Linked DNA regions of Xenopus tropicalis. The protein of the gene in region 1 interacts with the protein of each later gene in a pairwise test. Links are inferred from orthologs where the notes say so. Each region holds a gene or a part of one and is shown in the gene's direction. Other genes may lie near its edges.

The links.
Region 2: the proteins of rnf41 (region 1) and homer2 interact in binary tests that used the Homo sapiens proteins (3 or more experiments, as listed by UniProt). The link is inferred for Xenopus tropicalis from reciprocal best matches to the Homo sapiens genes RNF41 and HOMER2.
Region 3: the proteins of rnf41 (region 1) and c1orf109 interact in binary tests that used the Homo sapiens proteins (3 or more experiments, as listed by UniProt). The two-hybrid records come from large-scale screens. The link is inferred for Xenopus tropicalis from reciprocal best matches to the Homo sapiens genes RNF41 and AIRIM.
Region 4: the proteins of rnf41 (region 1) and asb6 interact in binary tests that used the Homo sapiens proteins (3 or more experiments, as listed by UniProt). The link is inferred for Xenopus tropicalis from reciprocal best matches to the Homo sapiens genes RNF41 and ASB6.
Region 5: the proteins of rnf41 (region 1) and isca2 interact in binary tests that used the Homo sapiens proteins (3 or more experiments, as listed by UniProt). The link is inferred for Xenopus tropicalis from reciprocal best matches to the Homo sapiens genes RNF41 and ISCA2.

The regions. Positions count from the first base shown.
Region 1 is NC_030678.2:137,453,981-137,457,495, forward strand, and holds part of rnf41 (E3 ubiquitin-protein ligase NRDP1), read left to right. Parts: coding exon 1-12; intron 13-2,314; coding exon 2,315-2,450; intron 2,451-3,100; coding exon 3,101-3,204; intron 3,205-3,515. UniProt on the Homo sapiens protein: Acts as E3 ubiquitin-protein ligase and regulates the degradation of target proteins. Polyubiquitinates MYD88. Negatively regulates MYD88-dependent production of pro-inflammatory cytokines.
Region 2 is NC_030679.2:105,307,814-105,311,328, reverse strand, and holds part of homer2 (homer protein homolog 2), read left to right. Parts: intron 1-1,258; coding exon 1,259-1,369; intron 1,370-3,515. UniProt on the Homo sapiens protein: Postsynaptic density scaffolding protein. Binds and cross-links cytoplasmic regions of GRM1, GRM5, ITPR1, DNM3, RYR1, RYR2, SHANK1 and SHANK3.
Region 3 is NC_030678.2:86,153,959-86,158,204, forward strand, and holds the start of c1orf109 (uncharacterized protein C1orf109 homolog), read left to right. Parts: upstream 1-1,443; 5' UTR 1,444-1,685; coding exon 1,686-1,861; intron 1,862-2,632; coding exon 2,633-2,905; intron 2,906-3,996; coding exon 3,997-4,176; coding exon of another isoform or gene 4,177-4,192; exon of another isoform or gene 4,193-4,223; intron 4,224-4,246. UniProt on the Homo sapiens protein: Part of the 55LCC heterohexameric ATPase complex which is chromatin-associated and promotes replisome proteostasis to maintain replication fork progression and genome stability.
Region 4 is NC_030684.2:22,271,561-22,275,704, reverse strand, and holds the start of asb6 (ankyrin repeat and SOCS box protein 6), read left to right. Parts: upstream 1-1,339; 5' UTR 1,340-1,420; intron 1,421-1,736; 5' UTR 1,737-1,787; coding exon 1,788-1,909; intron 1,910-1,990; coding exon 1,991-2,166; intron 2,167-2,697; coding exon 2,698-2,804; intron 2,805-3,431; coding exon 3,432-3,540; intron 3,541-3,673; coding exon 3,674-3,760; intron 3,761-4,144. UniProt on the Homo sapiens protein: Probable substrate-recognition component of a SCF-like ECS (Elongin-Cullin-SOCS-box protein) E3 ubiquitin-protein ligase complex which mediates the ubiquitination and subsequent proteasomal degradation of target proteins.
Region 5 is NC_030684.2:82,073,837-82,078,038, reverse strand, and holds the start of isca2 (iron-sulfur cluster assembly 2 homolog, mitochondrial), read left to right. Parts: upstream 1-1,395; 5' UTR 1,396-1,429; coding exon 1,430-1,476; exon of another isoform or gene 1,477-1,519; intron 1,520-3,493; coding exon 3,494-3,593; intron 3,594-4,202. Other genes in the region: npc2 (NPC intracellular cholesterol transporter 2), read right to left, coding at 1,220-1,225. UniProt on the Homo sapiens protein: Involved in the maturation of mitochondrial 4Fe-4S proteins functioning late in the iron-sulfur cluster assembly pathway. May be involved in the binding of an intermediate of Fe/S cluster assembly.

The DNA.
Region 1 (3,515 bases):
GCAGGGTTGTGGGTAAGTAGTTATATTCTATTGCATATGCATATATATAATATATATGGCCAAAATTGTTGGCACCCCAGAAGTTTTTCCAGAAAATCAAGTATTTCTCACTGAAAAGTATTGCAGTAACACATGTTTTGCTATACACATGTTTATTGCCTTTGTGTGTATTGGAACAGAACAAAAAAGGGAGGTAAAAAAGCAAATTAGACATAATGTCACAAAAAACTCCAAAAATGGGCTGGACAAAATTATTGGCACCCTTAACTTAATATTTGGTTGCACACCCTTTGGAAAAAATAACTGAAATCAGTAGCTTCCTATAACCATCAATAAGCTTCTTGCACCTCTCAATGGGAATTTTGGACCACTCTTCCTTTGCAAACTGCTCCAGTTCTCTCTTATTGGAAGGGCGCCTTTTCCCAACAGCAATTTTAAGATCTCTCCATAAATGTTCAATGGGATTTAGATCTGGACTCATTGCTGGCCACTTCAGAACTCTCCAGTGCTTTGTTGCCATCCATTTCTGGGTGCTTTTTGACATATGCAAACCCAGCTTTCTGACACTGGGCTCTACAGTGCGACCCAAAATCCTTTGGAAATCCTCAGATTTCATGATGCCTTGCACACATTCAAGGCACCCAGTGCCAGAGGCAGCAAAACAACCCCAAAACATCATTGAACCTCCACCATATTGATGGTGATGTGCTTTACCAAAAAGCTCTATCTTGGTCTTATCTGTCCACAAGACGTTTTCCCAGAAGGATTGTGGCTTATTGAAATACTTTTTGGCAAACTGTAGTCTTGCTTTTTTTATGTCTCATAGCGTTTCATTTCATTTAAATGTCGACTGATAGCTTGCGCTGACACTGATGCCCCCTGAGCCTGCAGGACAGCTTGAATTTCTTCGGAACTTGTTTGGGGCTGCTTATCCACCATCCCGACTATCCTGCGTTGCAAACTTTCATCAATTTTTCTCTTCTGTCCTCGTCCAGGAAGATTAGCTACAGTGCCATGGGTTGCAAACTTCTTGATAATGTTGCACACTGTGGACAAAGGCAAATCTAGATCTCTGGAGATGGACTTTGTAACCTTGAGATTGTTGATATTTTCCCACAATTTTGGTTCTCAAGACAGTTTTCTTCTCCTCTTTCTGTTGTCCATGCTTAGTGTGGCACACACAGACACACAATGCAAAGATTAAGTCAACTTCTCTTCTTTTTATCTGTTTTCAGGTGTGATTTTTATATTGCCCACACCTGTTACTATTCCCAGGTGAGTTTAAAGGAGCATCACATGTTTGAAACAATCTTATTTATCCACAATTTTGAAAGGGTGCCAATAATTTTGTCCAGCCCATTTTTGGAGTTTTGTGTGACATTATGTCCAATTTGCTTTTTTTTCCCTCCCTTTTTTGTTCTGTTCCAATACACACAAAGGGAATAAATAAATAGATAAATAAATATATATATATTTTATTAAAATTTGGCGTATTATCTCCAAAAATGAATATTTACTATAACATCAGCAGTATACTAAAAGGTGAATAGAAGAAGTACTGGTAAATTACCTTTACATTGGTGTAAACCTTTACTCAGAGCAAAGATAATTTTCATCTTTCCACATGCAAAATTTCTTTATTTAGAGTACAAAAATGATTTTTTGGAGAAATCTCCCTGGGTTCAGGCTGGTGAACTTCCATTACAAAACAGAGCAGCCACCTTTTACATCTAATCTACACATCCTCTCATTGTTTTTTTTTTTAGTAGGTGACTTCAGCTTATTTTAATTATTTATCTCTAATTTCTATTATTTATTTAACGAGCAGGTGGCAACTTTGTATGTGGTGCAATTCTCTTCTCCCAGTGACCACAAAGCAGGTGCTTATTTTTGAATTCCTGTCTTTGAGGCAAGTTTTGGTTAAAACCCCAATATAGATACAAACTTTACATTAGAAAGTTTCTACCTTTTAGGTTTTAATTTCAAACTCAATTACAAAGGGAGTGACAGTGGTAAGATATATTGGGTTTCTGTTTCAATGATACAGGTATTCAGGTCCAGCAGTGTTGACTTCCATTTCCCTGCCATTTTACTTCTTTACAGGCCTTTAATCAGAGAGAATGGCATTGTGGAAATTGGAGTCTTGGCTGGGGGACAACAGAATGCTGCCACAGTGCTTCAGTGATGCTTGTAGCAACATCCAATGATGCAGTAAATAGCAAAGGCTGCTTATGGGCTTGAACTTTTAGCAGGTGGCAGCCAGATATTTACAGACAGTTTAAATAATGTTTGTGTATATCATTCTATCTTCCAGACTGGAAATGCCCAAAGATGAACTACCAAACCACAACTGCATAAAACACCTGCGCTCTGTGGTGCAGCAACAGCAGATACGGATAGGGGAGCTGGAAAAAGCAGCTGCTGAGAGCAAGCACCAGCTCTCTGAACAGGTAATGTCTTTGCATTCATTTTGTATACAATTTTAAGGGCTAGGACACACAGAGCATTGGCTACGCTGCTCTCAGGCTGAGAAAAGAGGATCCATTCCCTTCCACATCTCCATGTATCTGCACTGACAGGCACAGCTTCTGTCTGAGTACAGGTACACCGAGCAGAACGGAGTTTGGACTGAAAAATGGGAATGCAGGCATTTTTGGGCTGATCTCCATTCTGTGTACCTGCACTCAGGCAGAAGCTGTACTTGTCATTGCAGATACACAGAGCTGTGGAAGAAAGCAGTTTTAGTTCAAGACCATTGATCAAGCCAAGTTTTTCTCTCTGCATTCATCTGCCCCCAATTTTGAACAGTTCCACAGCTATAGAAACAGGCCACTCTTCTGGCCAAGGACAACTTCTTTCCTTATTACTAAGCAACATTGTAATGGAAAATATTTAGTGTCCTTATCTATTAAAGCATGCTGAGCATTTGTATTGTTTATTTTGATTTACTTTAATTCATACCATTTCTGTATTTTGTCAGATTTTGTTTTTAACCATATTAAAAAAGGCATAAAAACCTTGTTATACCTAAAGTTAAATAAAATAAATTATTTTTTATTTTGACCAAATGTGTCCATGTGTGCCTCTTTAACATCCACAGAAAAGGGATATCCAGTTGCTGAAAGCCTATATGAGAGCCATCCGAAGCGCCAATCCAAACCTACAGAACCTAGAAGAGACTATAGAGTACAATGAAATCCTTGAGTAAGTTTTATAGTATTAAATGCACAGTTTAGGCTTTCATATTACCTAACTAACATAGTAACCCTTCATATGCCATAATGTTTGAAATATTGGCAAATTGAATGCCACAAAGCTGTCTAGGTTTAGTTAAAAAAAGACCCTGGTTGTGACTGTGTGGTCAGAGACAAAAGGCCCATAATCTTCTATATCTGGTTTATCCGCCTTACTTAAATGGTCTTGTTTCATAGTGGCTTTAGTTTCAGGTTACATGGTGTTTAAGGGTGAAGACACACTGAGCTACTAGTAGCAGCTACTTGTCATAGCTACTAAAC
Region 2 (3,515 bases), on another chromosome or scaffold:
TATCATAGAGCAATAGATTTGTGGCAGCTGGGGTCAGTGACTCCTATTTGAAAGCTGGAAGGATGTAGAAAAGGGAGGCATGCAATTCAAAAACTGTAAAAAAAAACCAATAATGAAACAATTGCAACGTTGACATGAATAGGACATTCTATAACATACTAAAAGTTAGGTGAACAACCCCTTTAATGTACAAAGTAGAAGTCACTCAAATATCACATACCAGCATGATTGTAACCTTAAAGGAGAACTAAACCCTAAAATGAATACGGCTAGAAAATGCGATACTTTATAAAATGAACTTACTGCACCAGCCTAAAGTTTCAGCATCTTAATAACAACAATGATCTAAGTCTTTACAGTTGTCACAGGAGCTCCCCATCTTGGAAAGTGTCAGTGACACTCACATGATCAGTGGGCCCTGAGAAGCTGTTGAGAAGCCAAGCTTAGGGGTTGTCACAAATTATCAAGTAGAAAATGAGGCTGGCCTGTAATATAAGCTGATGTTACAGGGCTGATTATTACTCACTGTGAGTAAGTTACTAATATGCCTTATATTGAGACATTTATATTTTGTATATACAGTAAATTATGCGGCAGTCCCTAAAGGTGGCCATACACTAAAAGAGGTCACCAAGCAAGTGTATCTTCTCCTGATATGCCCACATACAGGCCCTAGGGCCAAACAATTTAATTAAAACAGCGGGCATAGGCGCCAATAGAAAAATCAAGCCTGGCGTTCGAGATCAATCAGGGAGGCCCATCGGTGGTGCCCATACACAGGCAGATAAGCTGCTGAATTGGTCTGCCCGATACTGGCAACTGAAATTGGCCCATGCACGGCCACCTTAAAGTCAGTAAGTGACAGCAGCACAGAGCATGTGCAGGGAATCAGTAGATCAGAAGATGGGGAGCTACTGGGGCATCTTTGGAGGCACAGGTCTGCTGTGGTTGCCTTGGGCTGGACAGAAGCCCAAAACAGAATGTTCAACATTTTTAGCCTACTTCTTTAGTTTTACTTCTCCTTTAAAACTCTTCCAGTGTATACAGTATATGCCTTACATTAAGCGATCCTAGGTTTGTTCGTTGCCACTACACATCTACTTAGAAAAGTACTTAGAAAAGAGTTAAATATATGGGGTGTAATGTTGATCCCTTACTATATACACACAGACTAAAAATGCCCCTTTATGTGTCAGTGTATCTGCTGTTTAATCATTGTTCATGACACTGGTATATACAATATGCTTTTGTTTTCTAGATTGGAGAACTTGAGGCACAATGTGATGAGATAGAGAAGGAAAAAGAGAGGAACAAGGAGCTCAGCAACAGATTACAAGAACTGGAAGTTGAAATCCAAGACAAAGAAGCAGTACGTTACCTTATAACTACAGTGTCTTCACTAATCATAATATCTGTGGAACATGAACGGTCACGATGTGCAGCTTGTCAGCCTTAAAATGGAGAACAGACCTCTGTAAATGTATTGTGTTACTATAGACCAGGGCTGTCCAACTGGCGGCCCGCGGGCCGACCCCCCTCTGTGTGGCCCCCCACCTGTCTGGCTGCTTTGATGGCTTACCTTTGTGTAAGCTTTAAATGGTATCAGTACTGAGATTAACTGGCCCCCTGCATTGCTCACATCTCAGATTCAGGCTGTAATCCCCCTGTATTGTTTAAACATGTAATCACCCTGTGTTTTTCACACCTTTTAATCCCTACATTGTTCACCCCCTGCATTGTTCACACCTCAGGCTCAGGCTGAAATCACCCACATTGTTCACCCACAAATAAACCCTGCACACTACAAAAAACATATACTGAGGTGGTACTGCAATTAAAAAGTTTTTTAATATATAGTTATTGTGCAAACTGTAGGAGCAGTGCCAGCACACAGGTAGCATAGGGCAGGCAGAATATGGCACACACAGGCAGGGTAGGGAAGGCAGAGTATGGCAGGTTTTTGCTGTACTACCACCATTAATATGGGTATGGTCATGTGATAACATAGGTGTGGTTTCAAGTGGGTGTGGCTTAAAAGGGGGAGTGGTCAAACTGGCTTCCATTATCGGCCCTCCACCATGTAGGATGGAAAAATTCCGTCCCTCGGCACCACAGAAGTTGGACAGCACTGCTATAGACTATAGTACATTACTGGATACCACACAGTGCCTTAGCAAAGTTTAGCCCTCCACATATGTTGCCTTTTAGTCCACAGTGCTTGGCTCATACAGTCGGAGCTGCCCATGTGTGCCCAGTAATAGCATATCCCAGGCACCAAAGATCTATAACGTCAGCGAGGGTTAAAAAAATTACCCTCTTCACGCGAGCAGAAAAGCTGGGGACCTGGACATGAGGAAATACAATGTGTCAACCAGCCCAGGGCAGTGCCTTTTTTGTTCCTCCAGCTTATTGCACTACAACTCTAGTGGGATTCCAGGAACTGTAGTTCAGCAGCTGGAAGGGAAATGATTTAACTGAACTTATTCTAGGGCTTTACTTACCCTTTAAGGAGCAAATATTAAAATTAGAACTTGTCTTGCATTGTTCAGTGTAGTGTAATGTTTATTTTCTCTGTTCCTCTTCCATTGTGGCTTGTGCTGTACCCCAGCACTGTACAATATATGCATTAGAAATGTCACTCTCTGAGGGTTCCCTGAAAATGACAGTCAGTTGCTAAACTCCCAGAATATCTGCACAGAACAGCATAAAAATAATCATATAGCTGGGAAGTATGTCATTTGGATGAGTGACACAGGAATCATTATAATGGCACAATCGGTCCTGCTTTTAGAACAGTACAGTAAATTTATCTGTAAATCTGCCTCAGATGTGCTATTCATTGCATAGGGATTTGGGTGTTGGCATATTTTCTTTCCCCAAACCTTAGTCTGGTAAAGCAAACCAGCAATATCTTTTTCAAACATGGATTGTACCCTGTTGTTGAGCTGAGCTGTCTGCATCTCCCATTTTTAGTCAGTTAAAGGTGTGTAATTATAGGGCATTGCAAATTCATCTGGACCTAATGGGCCCATGTGGCTCTACATAATGACATATCTTCCCACATAATAAAAAGAAACTGATGTATGAATGGGCCATGTACAGGTGTAGTGTGTAAGGGACTAACCCACTGGTGATACAGATGTTTTGGTTCACAAATGAGGAAGGTTCTGCACCAAAATTCGTATCAGGGCCCTTAGGCCTCTAGCTGTGCCATTAGTCCATTCAAACATCTGCTGCTGAAATAGCCTAACTCATAAGTTCCTGCACCTTTTTACACCAAAGCTCATTGTTTTCACCTTCCCAGGCCTAATGAACATTGTGGGTTTTGGACCAGCAGGGGGTGGCAAGGGATCCATAGGCAATGCTTTCATTAGGAATTATGTTTACAAATAACTAATATTTGAAAATGTGTTATTTATTATATTGGAAATTGGCTTTGAATTCCATTTGCTTTCATTATGCACTATTTCATATTTCTGGGTAGCCATCCCCTTTACCACACTGGTGTTTTACTA
Region 3 (4,246 bases), about 51 Mb from region 1:
ACACACACACACACACACACACACACACAATTTTGAATTGTTTTTTTATGGTATTACCTGCTTCGCCTGCGCCCTTGGTGCCGGTGAGGGGATCCCCCATCGCTGCTTCGAGGGCTTGGAGTTCGCCGGGTGCGGTGCTGCCTGACGGGGCTTATCCTTTCCTGTTTTATAGTTACTGTCTCCGGGCTGTGTGGTCTCCGCTTCCTGCCCCTATCATCCTCCTCATTCATGCTGGCACTATAATCTTTTCACAAACACACACCGAGAAGAACCAAAATGTTAAGCAATCTACCTTCTCTATAAACCGGAAACCACCGAACGTTACCTCCGATCCGGAAATAATTCCCTCTTATTTAAATATTTTTGGGATTTGTAGTTTCTAGCGATTTATCATAAAATATCCTTTATAGCAGCGCCGACAAATCAAAATTTACGTTAGCTACTCTCATGCACAATTATGGTATTAAACCAACTTAAACTGCAATTGTTACCAAGGAAAATAAGGAATAAACAATTGTCGCGCCAGTCACCTCGATAGCAATAACAAGACTTTAAACTACAATTCCCTTCATGCCGTGCGGCTGTAGGTTTCCATTTCCGGCTTTAAAAAAAAAGGTGAATGTATTCACGTTGCAGTTGTGCTAATGATAGCGGGCAAGCTAAGCAGCTTTTCCAGGTCTGGTGAAATACGTGCGTTTGAATTGGGAAGTTGACGCTGTTTTTATTTTACCTTTTCTGTTCTATATGACATTATATATGACATTGTTTGTAATGCTGTTTAAGGACACGAATCAATGTAATACGGATAGCCTTACTTTTTTCTTAGTAAATAATTGAAAGCAATACTGAAATATATCACCTTTTATATACATTTGAGCCGATGATTCGCCCTTATAAAAATAATCTTAGATTTATTAATGTTATTCTGGTAGTGTTATGTAGAACATCTTCCACTGTGGTAACTGCTAATATAGGGGTGGATATACTTATTTTTTCCTGTAATCACTGTTCCAAGCATGCAACAATGCCTCTGTTCCTTACAACTCCTGGCAGTAACTACTGCTAGGTCTAGGTCCAACTTTTCCAGCAAACAAATACCAGCTGTACCATATCTATAGATTTTTTTTTACCAACTATGTATAAAAAATAAAAGAAAAAATGCAGCACAGGTAGCCATAGGTTGTTTAACCTTTAAAGCAGGGGTCGGGAACCTTTTTGGCTGAGGGAGCCATAAACACCACATATTTTAAAATGTAATTCCCTATAATATGTTTGGCCGCGGGGCAAGGTTGGGTGGGTCCCAAGGATGCCGGTTGCTGGATGCAATGCGGAGGAGGGCGTGGCCTGTGCTCGGCGTATAGAACATGTCTTCTATCTGCCGAGCGCAGGCCACACCCCCTGTTATTTTTTTTTTTATTAAAGATTTGGCAGCGAGCCAGATGCAGCCATCAAAAGAGCCACATCTGGCTCCCGAGCCATAGGTTCCCTACCCCTGCTTTAAAATAAAACAAAAAAAACTGATACCCATAACACTGGAAGTACTAGAAAGCCACTCCCATAATAGGTAGAACTAATTAAGCAGTTTTTTTTGTTAAAGTTAACAATACTTTATGGCTTAGATTTTATCGGGTGCCACATATTACTGATCATTGCCAACATAAAGCGATTTTAAAACAATATAAATTATGCATGTGTGCCAAAATCTTCGAGTCAGAGCAAATCTGATAACAAATGTTTGCCTAATTGCTGCTATTATAGATTTGCAAGCAATTTTAGCATTGGTGTCCACTCCCTCTGAAGTCATTTGGCCCTTGGGTTGTCATGATATGACACATCAAAACGCACGGATAAATGCCAGCGGGTATGTACCCATAATCTGGCCTATTGTTTTTAAAATAAAGGGGACATATTGTGTGAAAAACCATATTGTGCCAATGATTTGTACTCATCTAAATATAAAAGAAATGTGCTTTAAAAAGTAGTGTTTGGGGCTGATTTATTGATTTTATTTATCTGTTCCACTTCTGGCTACCTCCTTTCCCAGGTTGTTCAGGGGAGGCCAGCGGCACTCAGCACACTATATAGGAACCAATCAGCAGCTAGACTGACCTGATAGGGAACTGAAGCCTGTCTTTGCCTGTGTGACTGCAGGGCTGTGATTGGCTCTCCCCCTTTTACTGTGCTTCTGGCAGGGACTATTAGAACATGCCCACCTCTCATCTGAAACACGGACAGGGACCTGAGAGGATCTATAGGGAATTCCAAAAAGGGACAGTTCTTACAGATAGTTTTAATTTTTATACCAAAGTAAAACCAGCCCCATATATTATTCATAATTGTCTACAAGATTAAAGTTTATGTAATTTATGTCTCCTTTAAGAAATGTTTGCTGCAACTTAGTTTAAACATATGCCTACTTCTCTAAGACATTTCAGCATACATTTTACTATACTGAGTTAAATATTACTAGGCTAATGTGAGTATATCTTTTTCAAGGGTTTAAATACTTAGAAAGGTGTTGTGTGTTTTTGCATTCATAACGCTGTATAACTGATTTGTTGGCTTGAGTTTTATTTTAAGTGCAAAGCATCAGATTTATGACATGTATTTCACCAGTTTTATCGTTTTATAGGATGTCTGAGAAACCAGCCTTTGTTTCCGTGCAGCAATCGCTGAGAAAGTCCTTTGATGCCATAGAACCACTGCATGAAGAATGGAATAATACACTTTTAGAGTGTAACCCACACCTAACTTCTTTAAGTAATCTAGCAGAACAGCTACAGGCCTGCCAGAGAGTACTGTTTAAGAAAACCCCCCTGAGCAGCTTTATTAACCTGCAAGAACATCTTCGTTTTAAACTACAAGCAGCTATGGAGTTTAATTTGGAGATCTTAAATCAGAAGTTGTAAGTCCAATGTGTTGTTGGTTCAACCCTTCCGGTGCTGGTATCACCATGCAAATTTTTAGATAAGATACAAGCATCACTTTACATGTACATCAGTTCTGAAAACACTGAATTACTTGCTTGTCATACTTAATGTAGATATCTTTCCATTGACTGACACAGCTTCAGTGTGTATTGTGCTACACTGAGCGGATATCAGCACGAATAGGCATACTTGAGTGTTTCTGCGCCAATATCCGCTATGTGTAGCTCCACACAGGCAGACACTGCCTGTTAATGGTTCTACAGGAAGGAGCGCATGACAGTGGATCCACTTTCCTCTGCCTGGGTAAAAACTGCAGGTGAAAGAAAGAGTATCCGCTCCATGTTCCCTTACCTTAAATCTACTCTGCTGAGTAGATATAGCAGTTGTTAGTTCTAAAGTGATACACTGCTAAAAGAATGGATTTTGGACAATACATTCTCATAGGATGCACATTTTTTTGTACTCGGCAGGTTTTGCCTTTATAAATATTCTTATATTTTTAGCAGCAATTTTCTTCTTCCTCAATAAGAAGAGATATGAAATGGCGTTGATACTCACACTTGCATACAAGTTACAGGTTAATTTATTTTGTATGGAAGGTTTATATCCCCACAATATAACCTCAAGCTGGTTGGTTGTATTTCAGTGTGAAGTACATGATTGTCAGTTGTGTAATCACTACCTTTTGGTTCCCACAAAATCTAACCAAATCAGTAATAGGTTTAATATTTTCCTACAATAAATTATTACATTGTGACTACTAATTGCACAGTACTAGTTTTAATCACTTTATACCTTTTACTCTCAGCAGGATATTGCAAAATAATCACATACCCACAGCAAGTTAAAACATGAAAGCCAAAGGTCTAGGTTTTTGGATGTGTGTAATCTGTACAGACTTGTTTATGGCCTAATACAAAATGCTATTTACATTGTTGGGCATTATCACAGGCAGTAAATATTGTAGGTTGCCAAACTGGGCATCAGATTTTCACTTGAAAAAAAGTATTTCCTGAATACAAGGATTATCTACATTTTGTAACTCTTCAATTGCTAAATTTTACAGGTCTACGCTGCAGAGAATAAGGGACTCTGTAAGTCAGGTGGTTGGATCTGTCCTCTACATGTATGAGACAAGCATTGAAAAAATTGGTCTTGAAGCAATTTTGGAGCGTTCTTCTCTCTGTCCTTCCATAGCTGACATGTTAGAATGGCTACAAGATATAGAGAAACATTACAGAAACCAGTATCCTTTAAAGTAGAACTACTAACAAGTCCTGCCTTGAGACACAAGTAGGAATCCCTGTTCCCATAAA
Region 4 (4,144 bases), on another chromosome or scaffold:
GTTGTAGCAGACAATGCCAGGCAGCAGCTGCAAGGGCAAACAAGGTTTTGAGCTGTATTAAAAGGGGTATAGATTCACGGGAGGAGGGTGTTATTTTTCCCCTTTACAGAGCGCTGGTAAGGCCCCATCTAGAATATGATGTTCAGTTTTGGTCTCCAGTGCTTAAACAGGACATTATTGAATTAGAGAGGGTCCAGAGAAGGGCAACTAAGCTGGTAAAGGGTATGGAAAGTCTCAGTTATGAAGAAAGACTGGCCAAGATGCGCTTAAGAGGTGACGTGATAACTATGTATAAATATATAAGGGGATCATATAATAACCTCTCTAATACTTTATTTACCAGTAGGGAACCCACTCCGTTTAGAAGTAGGTAGGTTCCGTTTAAATATTCGGAAAGGATTCTTATAGCTTTAAGAAGGGGTTGGATGGCTACTTAACAAGTGAGGGAATACAGGGTTATGGGAGATCCAGGGACTGGTCCGATTGCCATCTTGGAGTCAGTAAGGAATTTTTTTCCCCTGCGGCAAATTAGAGAGGCTTCAGATGGTGTTTTTTGCCTTCCTCTGGATCAACTAGAAGTTAGGCAGGTTATATATAGGCATGAACGTGATGGAAGTACGTCTTTTTTCAACCTAACTTACTATGTATGGCAGAATAGGGATTCCCCTGTACTAAGCAAAATTCAGCGGGAACAGCCTCCTAAGGCATGAGAGGCTGCTAGGCTGCTTAACGTGCTGCCCTACCTGATTACGGTTGCCAAAAGGCAATGATTTTGCCAGGCTTGGTGCCACAGTGATTATTAGGTAAATGATATAGGGCTAGAATCAAGTGTATGACCCTAATAGCACAGTGGTGACACCCACTGGCACTAAATCAGGCCTATGAGGACCTCCCTCCACCAAACATGTATTTGCCTTTTCCCTTCTCTGGTTCTGACTGTTGAAACAATGTAGCAAAAGTTAAGTGTTAGTCAGTTGGCTTCTGCTACACTGTTTAAGGAGTCAGAATCAGCAATGTCGAGAGGAGAAACAGCCAGGCCTATACTGCTTCTAACAGGATTACATAAAAAATAATTTTCCAACCCCCTGTAATTAATATATCTATATATGTATCAGTATGAGCTACCCGCCCCGCTAGCCAGGCTACTTACTAACTAACCCCTGGCAGGATGGACTCTTCCGATTCCCCCCAACCCCGGCAGTCTCACATTTCAGTCCTAATATGAAACAATTTACAGCATTTGCCGGCACGGCTCACGGCTCATTAGCTAATTGGCGAGCGCCCTCTGCTGTCCTACATAACGCATCGCCATCTCCTTCATTCTGGTGCGCCTGCGCCTACAGCACGTCCAACAACCACGCCCACTCGCTGAGGAGCTCTGTGTTCCGTATTCAGCAGAGCAGCTTCCGGCGGGGCGTAGGTAAGTGGGAGATGTTTGTGTATGTTGCATGGGGCGCATAGATGTCATAGTTGTGACTTAAAATAGTCCCAAAATGTTTGAATGTGATCGCCATCAAGTCAAAACGCAGAAATCCTTATTTTGTTGTGAGCCCAGTGCAGGGCCAGGGACCGTGTGAGGGCTTTAGGCTATGTGCTACTTAGTTATAATGCAGTGTTATGGTTATGCTATTTGACCTTACATTAGCCTTCTCTGGGTTTCTAATAATGTGGAGGTGGGAAGAGGAAACAGCCCTATGACTGACTCACACCTGCCTGTGTTTTTTTCTGTACTGAAGGACCAGGCAGCAGTTCTGCTGGTGGTGGAAGATTGAGACTCTCTTGCCACTATGCCATTCCTCCATGGCTTTCGGAGGATTATATTCGAGTACCAGCCTTTGGTGGATGAGATCCTGGGGGCTCTGGGTATTCAGGACCCTGAACAGCCGGTGGCGGCAGACACCAGAAGCAGGTATTGGAGCCTTATCATTAGTAAGCGCTTAGAGTACCATGCTATTGGTGGCCTGGAATCACGTGTATTTTCTGCTTTTAGTTTCCTGGTTGGAGAGAGTGAGGAGTTCCTGGCGCTGAATGAGTTACTGGAGAGGCATTCTCAGTCTTCCTTTTACAAGGAGGGAGTCAGTTACTCGCTGCTGAAGGTGGCCGAGCTGGGGATGGTTCCGTCGGCCAAAATCCTCCTGCAGTTTGGGGCAGATCTCAGCTTTGAGGGTAGGTATGGTGAGCTCCTAATAAACTATGTTTCTAGTTAGTTTAAAGGTGGCCAAGGTTTGGTTGGATGATTCCAATGATTTTGAGCATGTTGACCGACCAAGTGGGACAGTCAGACCTTAGAACCTGACATTAGGGCAATTAGATATTGTGGAGGAAATAAGAAGGGGCTGATAGAAACTGTCACAGCTTGGGGGCCCATAGGGAGACTCTGGAACTGTGGAAGCCAGTCCGACCCTGGATCCGCAGCTCCTCTTCACTTTCTGCAGTTCTGATTGGTTGGGTTGGTGGCTTGAACAAAAGGAATGTTAGATTGTGGCCATGTGTATGTATGGCCACCAGTATGTTATGAATCTGTTTATCAGGCTGTGGCTTGTGTGCTGCTAATGGGTTGGCCAAGTCACTTTCAGCCAATCTAGAGTGGCTTTGCAGCACCTTTTGCATTTAGCTCACCAGCTTTGGCCCATGGTGCAGAGGATATAGTAGCTGTAGCGCTTAAGTAACTCTCACTTGCAATGTTTCCCTCACCAGATCCGGTGACCTACTACACGGCGCTACACATTGCGGTACTGAGAAACCAGCCAGAAATGGTGGAGCTGTTGGTGCAGAGCGGAGCTGATATTAACAAGAGGGACAGGGTAAGGATCAAGTTTCAGCTGTATTCTGGTGTCCTGCAGTGGTTTGGTACCTGCGGGTAGGTTTTTCAGATGTAGTTATAGATGCGGGTCAGGTTGTGGGCGACCTATAGTCCTTATATTATCTATATTTTACCCCTTTAAACTTTTTCTTAAACTTCTACCCCCACCCACTTTTGATGATGTCACTTCCAGTTTAAAGGTGGTCAGCAAGTCACAGATCTGGTTAGGTAGCAGGTCCAAGCAGGTTAAAATGTGGGTTTGGGTTGCAGGTTGTGGGCTGAGGGACCGAATATCAAAAATGAGTTCTTGCACAGGCCTCTATCCTGGTGGCCTGTACCCTACTGGAAATACTCAGCATGTTTCTATACCTTATGCCAGGCCCTTAAGGGAATCCTATCCCCTCAGGCAAAGCTGATCTCTCCAGTTCTGGGTTCTGCATTCCACCAATGCACAGTGACCTGGGAGAGGCACAAAACTCTGATAGGCTGGCTTATCATTGTAAACAATTTCTTCTGCTGCTCACTACCAACTTACTTGGCAAAAACCCATTGTGTGAGACAAGGTGATCTAGAAGTGCAGTGTCACATAATTTACCTTTTCTTGTATTTTATCCTCCTGTATATACAGATCCATGAAAGCAGTCCATTGGACTTGGCTAGTGAAGAACCAGAGCGACTGCCGTGCCTGCAACGCCTGCTGGAGCTCAGCGCTGATGTAAATGCAGCTGACAAAAATGGTAAGTGGATTTAGGGGTTTAAGCTGGGTTTTACCCCTCCCTTAGCAGGAATGACAGGGACCTTGTATTCGGGAATGAATACCGCCTTAATAAACGGGAAGTCACATTGTATGTTAAACGGATTATTATGCAGGGAAGACGGCGTTATTACACGCACTGGCCAGCAGTGATGGCGTTCAGATCCATAACATAGAAAACATCCGTCTGCTGCTCGAAGGAGGTGAGTGTGTTCCTTCCTTGTGTCAGTCTGTCTGTGCTCTGAGATCATGGAATATTCCACTGTGGCCCAAATGATCACTACAGATTCCTTGTTCCAACCGTGCCTGGAGGCAGTGGTACAGACGCTGGTAAGAGAGTAGGCAGCATATTGACCCCTTATTAATCGCATCATATGAGTACTGGATTAGAACTTTTCTCTGGCGTTTGCCTGACTGGTCCGCATAGGCCCATAGTATAGTATTTGAACCGTTTTTGGTCCAAGCCTTTAAGGGGGAGCTCACCTTCCAAACACTTAGTTTAGCTCCTTGGAAAACACCAAAGGTGACCTACCCCGTTAAGAATAGTTCAGTGCAACACATATATAATGTGTATTGGGTCAGTACTA
Region 5 (4,202 bases), on another chromosome or scaffold:
ATATGCAGAACTGTCAACCAGTCCAGTGCAAGTTTTTTGCTTGATGTAACTGCACATACACACAATGCACGTAATGTCATGGAATGCTTACTGTGCCTGTGCAGTGAGCTTTGGGAGCTCATAAGGATTTTTGGGAAGGCAGGGCATGCTGGACGGGATTGTTTGTGATACTACCAATTCATTTGGGAGACTTGATAGCTCTGCTACATGGCACTTGCCGGGTAGTACACAGACTGCAGAAACTAGAAAGGCTGAAATGTTTTTTTTTTTTTTTTTTTTATAAAGTTTGTTCATGGCTTCTTAACAAGTGTCTTAGGAGCCCCAGACTGAATGTGACACCTTCAGCACCCATAAGTTTCCTTAGAAATAACTATACACCTTAAAGGGGTGATTCACCTTTAAATTAATTCTAAGCAACTTTTGAATTAGTCTTCATTATTTGTTTTTCATAGTTTTTGAATGATTTGCCTTTTTCCTTAAACTCTTTGTAGCTTTCAACTGACCCCTGAGTCAAAAAAAACTATTGCTCTGTGAAGCTCCAGTTTAATTGTTGAAGCTCCAGTTTAATTGTTAAAGTTACTTTATATTACTTATTTTTCTATTCAGGTTCTCTCCTGTTCATAGATCAGTCTTTCATTCAAACCACACCCTGGTTGCTAAGGTAATTTGGACCCTAGCAACCAAATAACTGCTGAAATTCCAAGTTGGAGAGGTGCCAAACAAAAAGTAAAATCATTATAAACTAGAATTAAAAAAGAAGACCAATTGCAGATTGTCTCCGAACATTACTCTCTACATCGTATTAAAAGTTAACTCAAAGGTGGGCAACGCCTTTAAATGAATTAAAACTGTCCATTGCAGAGACAGATCACTGGGGTTAAGGACCCAGCGCCTTCACATTCACTTCGGCATTTCCAAGTTGCTCCTCCTAGTAACAGTAGCGCTCACTAGAAAACCATTGATCCCTTTAGCAATGATTAAAAGTCCGGTTTGCTTTCCGAACTTCATCACACACACACACATTCATTTGTATTGCTGAGCTAAGAATCTTAGTAGTTCACTCATAAGGTCACTCGTAAAGCCGCTCATAATAAAGTCTCCTGGTATGTTTTCGAGTAAAGTTAAAGAAATAGTTCTCTGCAAGCTTTAAATGTGGTAAAATGTCATATGAATAAAGAATATACTGAAAAAAACCGCCTATTCTAATACAGTTACCTACCGACATCCTTCCAGTACACAGCGAACTCTCACCGCCTCCAGCAGCTTTAGATCTTGTGATGTTTTGAGAGCTTTCCACCCTTCCGTGGTCAGCTGATGACGTATAACTATGGAGAGGGGTAACACCCAATCATAAGCGATCTTGCGTAGGCAGCGAAGCACTTTGGAATCCAATGAAAGGAGAGCTCAATTCGCTATAAGGAACACCAAGATGGCGGCCGGGAGATTTCTGTTCTGCGTAACGGGAGCGGCACGGAGGTAAGAGGATCCGGTCACGTGCCTCTCGTTATGCTCAACTTCCTGGCTTTGCTAGACTTGTTGGAATAGATGTTACCTCTGCGTTGTCTATATAAGCTTGCATACGTCCTCTGTCTAGGACTGTGTGACACACCCCTTGTTCTCCAGTTGTATAAGTTTGCTAAATATGAGTATTGCATCAAGGAGTTAAATTGGATCTGTCACTAAATAATTTTTTTAACTATAATTGTAATAAGCAGATACTATTTGTCTAAATTATCTATGGAAAATTTCTAGGTCTCGAAGGGTTGTGTCCTGGGCTTGACCCTCAGTTTCCTTGTATGTATGTATGTATAACTTTATTTATAAAGCGCCACAAGGGTACGCAGCGCTGTACAGTCTTACAGAATACAAAATTACACACAGGGAGGACGAGTGATATAATAAATAAATACACATATATATATATATATGTGTGTGTGTGTGTGCCATGTGGTATGAGACACAGTAGGAAGGAGGTCCCTGCCCCATAGAGCTTACAATCTGAGTGGTTGGGTAACATACAGGCACAAACTGGAAGGTAAGAGAGCACTAGGTATGGGCATTTGCCCTTAAGCGCAGGACTGGGCAAAATAATGTCTTAGTGCTCCAGAAGGTAACAGCTGAGTTTTTTCTTAAAGAGAGTTAGTGAGTGTTCCCTACGGAGGGATTCAGGGATAGAGTTCCAGAGGTAAGGAGCAGCGAGATAGAAAGGTTTAAGACGAGAGAGCGCAGTGGGTGTGGATGGTGTAAAGAGACGGAGGCTCTGAGAGGAGCAGAGGAGACGACCAGGAACCTTGTGCAGTCTCTCGCTCCTATCCAGTAGTGTTAGATTATTATTTGTTTCGTTTAAATAACTGTTATGTACCTCAACATTTGAATTACCAAATGAAGGTTAAATTAGACCATTACCATGACCAGTTATATGTGGGCATCCCTGATCTGCCCAAACTCCAACCACTTTTCTGATGCCGCACCCTTTTGGGGGGCCCAAATTTAAAAAAATATGCCCCATGCAAGCTCCATCATGCTGCTAATTTGCCCCAGCCACTCTCCAATTATGACAATACTTGTAATACATAAGAACCCCACCAACTAACTACAAGCATCACCCCTGTCGTGACCCCCCTAATTGCACCTTTCCATCTCGGAATTCCTACCAAAGGTTCTGAATGCACTCCTTGTAACCCAGATGAAAACCATGCCAGGAAGAGCAGGTGCCCCTACTTAATAGGGGCTTATCCCAAGGAAGATGTGTCAGTCAGCATTTTCCAAAATACATTTACCTGACAAGAAGGTGCATCCATGCTCACAGGCAGTAGTGTTTTTCCTTTGCCCAGAGAGCCATAAATTGTTTGTGCAACAGAAAGCTTACAGTCGCAATGTGTGTAATTGCCCTTGGAATTGTGGGCAAGGCAGGAATGTAGTACAAATACAAAATTGACAGTTTTTGAGCATAAAACAAAGAGAGGAATATTGTACTGTGTACAGCTCACAAAAGTAATGTGGGGTCCAAACGGACAATCAGCAGAATAATGGAAAAGTAGCAAGAAAACAGCTCCCTGACAGCTGCTTGTCACTCAATAGAAAAAATCCAAGTCTGCCTCACCCAAGTCATGACTCCTCCACTTACAGTATTAGAAACTAGAAGTAAGAGAAACAATATTTTATCCCAAAGCAGTTATGTTGTGTAGTGCTGGCTCCTCCTGAAAGCTCAGACTCAGGCACAATGCAATGAGATGGCTGCCTACACACCAATAGTACAACTAAAAAAATACATTTGTTGGTTCAAGAATATCATTTAAAATGGTGGAGTGAATTATATGCAATGTAAACAGTGTAATAAAAGTACACCATAAAAATCATGACAGAATCCCTTTTAACTGTGCACGGTGAATCCTTCTTTCCATCAGGTTTTATTGTTTTTTTTTATTGATTCCTCCCCATCTCCCATTTTAGGGTATATCTCTATCTGGTTTTAAAATTTTTTCTTCTACAGGTCTGTCCTCCCAGCGCTTCTGTCCTGTGAGCTTCCTGTCCGCTATTTGTCAGAGACACTCAAGGAGGGACAAATATTGCTAACAGACCGCTGTATAAAGGTGAGATTTTTGTTCTACTGAAAAAAAATCACAATTTTTCCTCACATTGTTGATGTTTCTAGAGGTTAATTGTCCCCAAAGCAAAATAATTTTAGAGCCTCTCTAAAATATGGCATTTTTCATAAACATATTTATTTACTACATCAGCCAGTGCCACGCTTGTTCCCCTGTACCTGCTAGCCCCCCCCAGTTGTCACTGGCTCTGCTAAAACTTTTTGTGCACAGTTCTCTAATCCAGGAGGAAGTTATTTTCTGCTTTGTAGTCACAAAATATCGACCCCCCCAATCTACAATCTCCCTTCTGTCTTTCTGAGCAATCAGATTTTAGCACCCCATAGTGTACCACCAAATGCAATAAAATATGTACATAGAGGTTTTCTAAGGAGCTGAGCTTCAATCTGCCATGAGTTTACCCCAAAATAACAGTCCTGCTCATTTGGACAATGAGATTTCTATACTGTTTAGTAATGTAGAACTATTCAGCAGTACATTGTGGTATTACTAAATGTTGCCAAGCCACACAAATTCATCTTAGGGCTCTGTAAACACAAGATGTTTTTCATAAACTTATACTAAAACTTTTTATCAGTATGTGTTTCTGGGCACTCC